2 linked regions of the Saccharomyces cerevisiae S288C genome follow. The gene in region 2 interacts genetically with the main gene of each other region. Each region holds a gene or a part of one and is shown on either strand. Other genes may lie near its edges.

Region 1 (5,020 bases), on a different chromosome or scaffold from region 2:
CAGAACTGCGCTGTTGGTGGCCCAGAGAAACTGAAATTTTATTGAGTGTTTTATTGATTTTTTTTTTCTTTTTAATTTAATGCAATGTATACATTTACATAAAATATGGACAAATAAGAAAAAGGGGGAAAAACCTCCCACTTAAGTAAAACTGAATATATTAGATACCTTTACCTACTATCAAAGGTGAATGCTTTTGGATCAATAGGGGTTCCATCGGGGGCAATACCATTTTGGCCGAACTTTCTTTCCATATATAATAGTCTAGCCTTATCGAAATCTACATTATCGTTTTCCATAATTTGTTTAATCTCATTCTTGGAGACATCATCCAAACCACCTCTTACGTCGTTGCTATTCTCCGAGATAATATCGAAATTCCTGGAATGGAGACCGTTTTCTAGGTCATCAGCAAAGGAATCATTTAAACGTATATGTCTATTAAAACGTAATTGTATTCTTGAACGCAGTGCACGAAATTTGTCGGCTATTACAGCTGTTAGTATTTAGATACGGTTTGCACTTTGCATTTTCAAATGCTTAAATATACATACCAACTTTGGTTTTCCGGTGTGCCATAAGAAGGCATAAAGACAATAGCACAACCCAGAGGAGCAATTTGAGATAGAACAAACTCTTCATACTCGTATTTGCAATTTTTGGAAATTAATTGTGTAGCTTTTCTTCTCTTAATTGGTGGCAGTTTTTATATATTCAGTTTAGAATACCCTTTTTTTTTTTTTTTTTTTCTTCGCTTTTCGCATCTCATCGCTGGAAGTGGTGCTCTTTTACAGGGATTAAATAAGGTTATTCTTTTTGGTCAAAATGATAAATATAACTATTAAAGTTATTTATAACCCGCCCGCTTCCTTATTATTTATACGTTATCATAAAGTACACAGGTCATGGTTCGGTTGGTGCTTAGGAATTAATCACGTCTAGCATAAGAGATCTGTAAACTACAACCACCATAATTATAATTATTTAATTTTTGAATACAAAAATCTGCATCTACTAAATTTTCATATTCTACAACAGCAACACCAGTTGGTTGACCATTTTCCTGTGGTTTCAATTCCGCGTTATTGATTTTGCCGATAGGCCCAAACAAGTCGAATAAATCGCTTCTTGCTGTTGAGAATGGTAAATTACTACAATAAATGAAACAGTTTCTATCCCCTCCTGGATTGACACCTTCAGTAAATTTTGCTGCAGTTTCATCAATGTGGACAGCGGCATCCTGCGCAAGACCTGGTTCAGTACCTCTGGTATCTTCAAGGTCCTCACGCCTTTGATTATAACGATCATTGTTCTTTCTCTTGTTGAAACGCCCTTCTCTAACTTCCAAAACTCTACCTTCTACTTCCATGCCGTTGAATGTATCGATAGCTCTAATCATTTCATCCTCAGTAGGATAAATGACAGAACCGAATCCTCTTGAAAATCCGTTGAAATCCAATTCTACATCGGCACGCAAGACATGACCACATTCTTTAAACATATCTTTTAAGGATTGCCAATTCATAGAGTACGGTAAATTGATGATGAACACTTCAAACCCATTATCTATTTCTTCCCTAGTAGCTTTCTTAGAAAATTCCTTGGCAGCTTCAGGAGGAGGATTATCCTGTCTTACCATTAGTTTCCGGTCCATAAAGAGGGCACCATCAAACTTCGATATGGCATCTTGGACAGATTCGTTTTTGGTAAATTCCACAGTCCCCATACCACGGTGATGGCCCTTTGATGTGATAATGTCAGCCTCCACAACTTCGCCCACTGTACCAAACAATTCCTTAAGGTCTTCAGGGGTACAATCAAAAGTCAAGTTTCTCACGAAGATACTATTTTCAAAATTTCTCTTGGTCGCGTCAAATTGCCTTTCTAAGTCTCTTTCAACAATTGGACCTAAAGTACGACCCCTACCGCCACCGCGTCCCCCTCTGAATGATCTGCTTCCTCCTCTGCCACGGCCTCCTCGGCGAGGGGGCCAGTTCCTATCATCGTGGTAGCGGCTGCCACCATAACTCTGATCGTACCGATCATTGAAACGGGAGCCTCGGTCGCGTCTCTGACGACGACTGCCATTACCATTATTACTGCTACTATCGTTATAATCATCGTACCTGTCTCTGTCGTCGCTCAAACGACGACGTACAGGTGATCTTGATCTACTCCTATCATTTCCATACATCCCTAGCTCTCTCTCCATCTTGGCGAAAAAATCCAGCTGATGTTTGTTTCCTTTTCGCCCATAGCTTATTTCTAATGGGAAATCCTCAATATAATTGATTTCATCCAAGCTTTCATTTTTTTTCAATTTTTTTCACCTTCAAGTGAATACATCACTTCCGACGATACCAAAATAATGACAAAATGCCATGAGAAGATCTTATGATATGTAGTAAATGTTAACCACCATTGCTATTTCCTTGCTAGGTTTGCCAAAGCCGTTGGCGAAGGCAGCACTAGACGGCGAGTCACTTCCGTCTCTTTGTCCACTTCCTCTTCACCATCAAATCGAAGCCTGCAAGTGCCGTCCCTCTTGGTTCCGATGACAATTGCAGGATAAAAAGTGGTCGTTTCAGGATATCTTGCCAGAACCTTAGTACCTGGCGGGTAGTTCTTAGTGGGAAAGCCTGGCGGGATCAACAGTAGTTCTTTCCGATTACATTTATACACCTTGCCTGAGTTGCCCAATTCATCAGGTTCAGGATCTCTCACTTCAAATCGTGTACCATCTGCTACGACTTTGAGTACTTCACACTGTATCCATTCGCCGTCGGCACTGCCCCTTCTGGGCTTATAGGCAACCTCTGAGCCCACCAAAATAGGTGCATTTGGGTTGTATTCGCTGGTCCAGTACGATCTGCCAACTTTCCCCACAGCTTTCTTGCCCTGCGACAATGCCATGCGTGTCCCTTCTCCTTCTTCTGCATCTTCAGTATTTTCCTCACTCTTTTCCTCTCGTGACTGATTCAACATCAACGACAAATTGGAACGTACATTGTCAAGGATTCGGTGCACTCTGTTGACGTTTTCCATGTGTTCTTGGAAAGTGTTGAGATGCAATTGCAGCTGATCCTTTGACATATTAAGGAAATTTAGTTTTTTTGTTTGCAGCTCATCATCAAAGGGAATGACCTCGTTGGCATTGTATATGTCTTGCAAGGACGACACTACAACATCCCAATATCCGTCCATAATAAGAAAGGTGACCGTGTGTTTTGCTGTGAAAAACTCCCCCCACTTAGAGAAGCCACCAAGGTATTGTGTCTTTAACCTTTTTCGTATCTGGCAAAATCGAAGAGGAAAGCAGAAAACCAAAAGAAAAAAATAGTTTAGTAACGCGTCACCTCGTACAAACGTACAATCATAGCAACTTATGAGTAAATAGGCTCATGGTTATAGATACGTTATATAGATGTATAGAGGAGAGTCCCGAGGGCGATCGCAAGGCCGAGAGACTAACCTAACCAGGTGGTAGTTGGGAAATGTCGACGATTTCGCTGATCTTTTCGTCTTCGTCGGCAGCTTCCTCGGTGCTTGTCTTCAAAGGAGTTCTTGGCAATGCCATCATACCGCTTCTTGCACACTCTAGGACACCGAATGGCTCGACCAACTTCAAGAAGGCAGAGATACGTGTGGGTTTTGCAGACAACTCCACAATACAGCTTGTTTCGCTGATGTCGACGACACGACCTCCAAAGTTGTTGGTCAAGTTGGTGATATCGTTCAAATGCTCGTGCTTCAACCTTAATACCTCACTGGCGGGCAAGTTGGCAGGGTGGAATTGCTTTTCTCTGATTTCGGCGACCAATTCTTGGGAGTCAGCGGCGCCAGCATTGGTGGAAGTGTGGTGGTGCAATAGTAGGTCTTCGAAGTATTCAGTACCCAATAGAGAGATTCTGGCCATCACTAGCTCTCTTTTGATGATCTCAGAATTGGTATAGTCTAGGACGGCGTAGACGGGGACCAAGTCTTCGATTTGTCTGCGTGCTTGTTCGACTACGCCATCTTGCCCTTGCAAAACAATGGTCATTCTACTTAGGTCTTTGACCTCGGTGTTGCACACGACCAACGAATCGATGTTAAAGCCTCTGGCAGCTAACGTACCCGAGACTCTGGACAAGACACCGGGTTCGTTTTGCACCAAACAGTTCAAGACATGCTGTTTTCTTGGTTGACGAGAAGGCGCTGGTGTTTCGTAAATGATGGATGAAACGGCACTGTTGGCATTCCAGGAAGGAGTGTCTAGTGTGGGCAAGGGAGGTCTTGTTGCGTGTCTGTGCATCTGCTTGTACGCCAACGCGGAGGTCGACGAGGAACTGCAACGCACCATGGTAGCACATGAAGAAGCAACCACCCTGCGGTGGCCGCTTTGCAATAACGATCTCAGCATTAGAAAGACTGGGTTAGTGAGCTCAGATGTTCTAAAGATTCTGTATATACGAACTATGTACTTCCATATATACCATTCCCCGTTCTTGTTAGGTAAAGGTTAAAAAAATATTTTTTATGGCACTTCGGCGATGCGAAAGAAAGTGAGTCACGATAACGGTGAGGTGATTCGTTGGATGTGCCATCGCACAAGGAATTGCTGGCGTGCTAATTCACGACCTTGCTTGACAAAAGTATCGAGGGGAATGGTGCCACGGTGCAGCATCCTAGATAAGCACTCAATGGTGTCCGTGAGAGCGTAGTCCTGGGCAACGAGGTTGTATAGTTGATTGAGTCCATCTGTTTTGGCCACTGCTATGGAGTTCACGTCCTCGTCATCCACATGCGAAGTTGAGCTAAACTGTTGGACTTTGGCCCTATTTGCGGTCAGGACGTCTATCTGTGCGTTTAGCGAGTGCATGGTCTGCTCAATAGCCTGCTCAACGGCTCGTAAATGGTTCTTGTCGATGGCGATTATTTCATGGAATCTGGCAATTGATTCTTGCATGACGGTCTGTCTCGTCAGTATCTTGTCCGCTACATAGTCCACATCCTCTCTGTATAACTCATTGACTACGGT
Region 2 (6,000 bases):
ACCTCGTCAACAAGATTGCTATTCCTCTTCCACGAAGTTATTTCGTCCAAAATATCATCCAAGTTAAATAATCTAACGGTTGGATATATACCTTGGATTCTCGGCAAGCCTATACCAGCGGACCCACCGTAACATAACCACATCTCATTTTTTGACTGTAAGCAACAGTCATTATTATGTTCATGTCCGCAACTGACACCCTTTATATTCCAAAGACTCAGGATATCAAGGAAGCTTTTGTAATGTTTGCCATTGATCGTCATTGAAACTTGTCCTCTAGACCTTGGCGTATCTACTGTTAAGGTAGACCTCTCATTATACTGCCCAATAATAGGAAATAAACCATGAGGCCTATATTCCGATAATGGAAAATATTGAAATGCCAAGCCAAAGTCTATTTTCCCAATCAGGTCGTTATAATCTTGTAGGAAATTATTGACGGGCGCAAATGAATCAAAGACGAAAAATAAAGCCTCTGATGGGTTTGTTTCGTCTTCGGTATCAATGTCTCTTTCCAAAAGAGTATTCTTCGTGAGCTTCTTTTTAAATGAGACTTCTATGGCCATATGACCCTCTTCTGATGCAACGTTGTTAAATGTGTAAGGTAAATTCCTGATAAAGTCTCTAATTTGTGCCGATGTGGCCAAATTGGATTCGTCAGAAACACCCAATGAAATTGCGTAGGGTATTTTATTAGAAATCATTGGTTGGACAACTTTCATAATGCACGTTTGATAGTCGATAGTATTATGTGAGTCTAACAAATCACCTGTGATCACAACTAAATCAGGGTTTTCTGATGCGAGTACCCTATCAATAAAATTTACTGTTTTTATTTCATTGATTACGGTCATGCTATTATCCGTACATTTGAAATGAAAATCAGTTATTTGGAGAATTTTGAATGATCTTTGTCCCCTCGAAAATTGTATATGGGGAGATGTTATTTTGTAATCTGCATCGACTTGGATATTAATGTCTTTGCTGGGTGTTCTCAAAGAACCTAGCAATCCATTAGAAAATTTGTGATGATGGTTTTTGGTTTCAAGCTTTCTTGTAATTGATATGGGCAGAGAAGGTATGTTATTTCTATGAAATTCATGGATAACTTCTTTCCAAGAAGGCCTCGATTCAATAAACGATGATCCTAGATATATTTCCAAATTAGTTATAGGAGCGTCATTATCATCATCATTAAGGATATACTTACACCATATGCCGCTCCCCTTGTATACCCACTCCTCACCGAACACAGCTATGTTATCTGTATCAACGGATATGCCGAAAAGCAGCTTCCACCATGACGAAGTAGGCTTTTCTCGTAGATACACATGATTGTGAAAGACAGAACTGTCGCTCGATTTCACCAACTTATTAATGTCTCTCAGCACTTGTAGGGGTATTAGTGCTGAGTCCCTTGCTATGGCTAGTTCTTTTATTGTGTTTTTTGGATTACTTTGGAAATCTTTCAGATGAACATATAAGTAACTGTTGTAGAATGGTCCAGACTGAAGTGAATACAATGTCTCTACAGTAATATTCTTAGAAACTCTGGTCCACAGAATGCTGTTTTTGTCTTTGATCTTTTTAGCAGTATTGGAGGGGTGTAATTTCGGGGCATACAAAGAACTACATTGCCTGTACCAATGGTAGCACCGCAGGATTTGAATATCGTCTATCATTCCGCCATGATATTCTGCTACATTATGATCCATTAATACATTTTTTGCATGTAGCTTTAGTGAATCTCTCGATAAATACAATGAAGTAATGCATAATATAAAAAGTATTCTCCTTAAAAAATTAAATCTTCTTCTATAATGTAATCTCATGCAAATATTTGAAGGGTATTGTTTGCGAAGGTCAATGAATGTGATAAGAGCTAATTGTTGGAAAGTAAAATAATCGAAAGGAATGAGAAAAAGGTAAGTTATTTAAATCTCTTTTGGAAATGAAACTAAAGCAACTTGAAAGAAATTTCAAGAAATAATGAAAACCTCGAATTAATCGACAAATGAAGAGTACTGCAGAACCGAAATTGAAAAAAAAGGTCGTAAAGTTGAAATGAATTGAAGTCAGAATTAAAATAGAAGGGGTATTGTTGCGGCTAAAGTAAAATAAAGAAAGGAGAAGTTAGAAAAAGCAACTCAATGATCTTGTGTTCGAGGCTATATTATAATAAGTTTAGGACTTGGCATTATTTCAGATCAAAAGTATAAAAATTAAAACTGTCCTTTATCTGTCAACCTTTTTATTTTTGTTTGATCCTTAGAGTCTAATTTATGTCCGTAAATAGAAGTTTTCGGATTGCGGGCGCAGTTAGCCTCCAAGCGGAGTTTCTATAGTATTGAAAACGTAAACTAGTAACATATATGCGGTTCAAAATTACTAGAGAAAATGAGATCATAGTTTAAAGAGACATACGTTATTTATCTGGCGGAAAGTGTATAGAAATCTATCTAATTATCAGAATCGATGTCATCGTCATTGTCATTATCGTTACCATTGTTAATATTGTTGGTGGCTTGTTCAGGATCTCCCATACCATCGAAAAATTGCGAACGCAATGTTTTTAATGAATTTTGGTCATCCTCAGCAAATTTTAAGCACCCGCTATTGCTTTTCAACGCTTCCGCGACTACTTCTTCCGTGGGAATTTTACCCTCTTCACAGTATATGAACATCAGCGGAGTTTCACTTGCGTACTTCGTGCCATGCTTGATGGCTTCTTGAACGACAGAAGGCGACGAACATTTTTTCACCTTGAATTCTGTTCCCAACGTATTACTTTGTATCCATGACCATGCACCGTTTCTGCTTCTGATAAAGTATGAATATGGCGATAGTGCTGCCATTGTGAGGATGTAGGGATTTTCGATCAGTCCCAATTGCTTTGCAGTGTTGATTATGTGTGTCTCTGGATGTGAAAGGTTCCATTCTCCATGCAGTTTGGACGCCAAGTCCTTATATTCCTCCATTTTAGCGGCTCTCGCAGAATTTAATGTATCTTTCAACGATGCGATCTGCTTTGCTGCTTCATTATTAGCATCGTCAGGAATTGTTTGTAGATACGCCAGCGTCGACTCTAGAATAGTGGATATGTTTTTGCCTTGGTAACTCTTTAACTCGTTGATCTCTTGAAGCAAGCATCTGGATCTGGTCCGCGCTTGCTTTCGTTTAGAAATAATATGTCTTATTAGTTGGTCTTTGCACTGTTTGGTGTAAAGCTGTGGGTAAAACTCAAGCGGTATATCCACGCCATTGGGTAGAGACACTGATTCTGTATTTGTTTCTAGTTCATTGAACAGGATTGTTAATACGGGTGCCACCTCCTTCAAAGTATTCTCCGGTTCCACATATCTCGCCTCTTCTTGCTCGCCACCACGAATCACGTCTTCTTCTTCTTCCTCTTCTTCGGGGTACAATAAAACGTTGAACATTTTATATAGATTAGAATCGTACTCTTCAGGAAGAAAATGAAACAAGGACAAAAACGTCTCCATTGGAGGTTCATTCTTGTTCGGAGTATGCAAAGCAGAAGATATAAAGAGACTTCTTGTTTCCCGGTCTCTGATCCCAGGACACATTTCCAAATCCACTGCCAATGATTTGATAAACGCTGGGAGCACCTCATAAAGATGCTCGGAATCGGCCAGCTTGGACCTCAATTGCGGTTCCAAGGACGACGTAAACACCTTGGCCGAAACAAAGGCTCTTTCACACTTTCGCGTGTTAACCACGGAGATGAGTTTTTGCAACTGCCAGAGCAGATGCGGTTGCAACCCTTCATTAGGTCCGCTGGCCAGCACGATCTCCGACGTAGTGGAACCATCTTCTGCCTCGCAATATGCAAGTCTGTATTTGGGCTCCGTAAACGATGAGCCCTTGAACCAGTCTGCCCTATAGTTCAAATCCTTAAAGTCCGGTTTCAAGAACACGTGTGGGAAATACACGGCCGTGAGCAACGCAAACAGCCCAAAATAGCTCTCAATTAGACTATTCAAGGGTAGCGGCAACACAACCGTAGGATCGCCCACGTTCGACTTGAACTCGTTGTGTTGTACTATACTATAAGAGGGGGGAGGAATGGATGTCTCCGATATAGAATAACGATCGTAGTTCTGAGCAGTAACCCTGCATCCGCTGGTGCTATTAGAACCGCTGCGTTCATCCGTGATGTCTTCATCGTCATCATAATCAACATCGACACCACTCACATCCGGCATATCAATGTCTTGGTCCCCGTTGTTCGGAACATCGCAGGGCTTGGTTCCAGCCACTATTTTGTTCTCAGAAATCCTAGGCTGACTGCCATCATTCTCCTCACCCATTTCCGCTTGCTCCGGCAGCTCGTTCGAAAAGATGAAGTTAACTGCTGCCTCCAAATTACCGCCAGTTCTTTGGAGGGCGTCCACAGCTACTTCGTGTGGAATACCCATTTCTAGCAGTGACTTTACAGCCTGATTATCCATCATCGTAGCTTACTTAACAAAAATCAATTACTTAAGATTCCTTTTACAGGTGACGACTCTCCTTTTCCGGCTTCTTCTCTTCTTTCCTCTACTCCGACAGGTCCTTAAGCCTTGTAGTGAGAAGTACCTTTCAACAATAGTATCTTTTACTTCCGTGCCGGGTCGCCCGGACATCACCCGCCCGGCACAGATGCCTTGGCAGCAAGCGCATCCATCGCTGCATCTCCGCCGGAAAAACAGATGTTCAGTACATGAAAAGACGTTTTTATTCGACATAAACTTTTTCAGCTAGCAAGAAGGATCTCTTTTTAAACACTCTATACAGGTGCACACAAAGGGTTGTTGAAACAGAAACACAAACGCACGGCGAAATAATATTATTTATTCGACTTACGAATTTTTCAAAGAAGTCGTACTGGTGTGAAGTGGAAAGTTTCAAAGATAGTTTGAAAAGCAGGGAAAAAAGAACATAGTGAACCTTCATCGCCACAGTGACAGGTTCAAGGAAAAAATTCACACACACACACATACGCATACGCACACAAAGCACTCAGCTCTATATACATAACAAAGAATATTGTAATTCGACACTATTTGGTACATTCAGAGGGTCCTAAGACAGCACAAATCAGTTATATAGAAAAAAAGAAGAAAAAATCATGAGTGAAGAGGAAACGGTCTCAGCCCCAGCTCCAGCTTCTACACCGGCCCCGGCTGGAACCGATGTAGGTAGTGGTGGAGCAGCAGCTGGAATAGCTAATGCTGGTGCTGAAGGCGGCGACGGTGCCGAGGATGTTAAGAAACATGGGTCGAAGATGCTAGTGGGGCCCAGGCCGCCACAAAATGCGATATTCATCCATAAGCTATACCAGATTCTGGAGGACGAATCGCTACACGACTTGATATGGTGGACCCCTTCGGGCTTATCCTTCATGATTAAGCCTGTGGAACGGTTTAGTAAGGCTTTGGCTACATATTTCAAGCATACTAATATCACGAGCTTTGTAAGACAGTTGAACATTTACGGCTTTCACAAGGTGTCGCATGATCATAGCAGCAACGACGCTAATAGTGGCGACGACGCCAATACTAATGATGACAGCAATACTCACGATGATAATAGTGGCAACAAAAACAGTAGTGGCGACGAAAATACCGGTGGCGGTGTCCAAGAAAAGGAGAAAAGTAACCCCACTAAAATCTGGGAATTTAAGCATAGTTCTGGTATTTTCAAGAAAGGTGACATTGAGGGACTCAAACACATTAAGAGAAGAGCTTCTTCCCGTAATAACTCCTCAATTAACAGTCGAAAGAATTCTAGTAATCAAAACTACGATATAGATTCCGGTGCAAGAGTAAGACCCTCTTCGATTCAAGACCCGTCCACCAGTTCCAATTCCTTTGGTAATTTCGTTCCGCAAATTCCGGGCGCCAATAACTCTATCCCCGAGTACTTTAATAACTCTCATGTAACTTACGAAAACGCAAACCATGCCCCGCTGGAATCCAATAACCCGGAAATGCAAGA

The links. Genes that interact genetically often act in the same process or in processes that back each other up.
Region 1: mutations in RUP1 (region 2) and SGF29 together harm fitness more than expected from each alone (negative genetic interaction), as found in Saccharomyces cerevisiae (2 studies listed by BioGRID).

What each region holds. Positions count from the first base shown.
Region 1 is NC_001135.5:101,147-106,166, forward strand, and holds SGF29 (Sgf29p), read right to left. Parts: upstream 3,205-5,020; coding exon 2,425-3,204; downstream 1-2,424. Other genes in the region: BUD3 (Bud3p), read left to right, coding at 1-45; YCL012C (uncharacterized protein), read right to left, coding at 171-487, 555-642; GBP2 (single-stranded telomeric DNA-binding/mRNA-binding protein), read right to left, coding at 929-2,212; ILV6 (acetolactate synthase regulatory subunit), read right to left, coding at 3,473-4,402; ubiquitin-binding ESCRT-I subunit protein STP22, read right to left, coding at 4,550-5,020. UniProt on the Saccharomyces cerevisiae protein: Chromatin reader component of the transcription coactivator SAGA complex. SAGA acts as a general cofactor required for essentially all RNA polymerase II transcription.
Region 2 is NC_001147.6:581,850-587,849, forward strand, and holds RUP1 (Rup1p), read right to left. Parts: upstream 4,476-6,000; coding exon 2,460-4,475; downstream 1-2,459. Other genes in the region: SIA1 (Sia1p), read right to left, coding at 1-1,832; SFL1 (Sfl1p), read left to right, coding at 5,132-6,000. UniProt on the Saccharomyces cerevisiae protein: Modulates the activity of the RSP5 HECT ubiquitin-protein ligase through its mediation of the interaction between RSP5 and the deubiquitinase UBP2. Involved in regulation of cell wall homeostasis.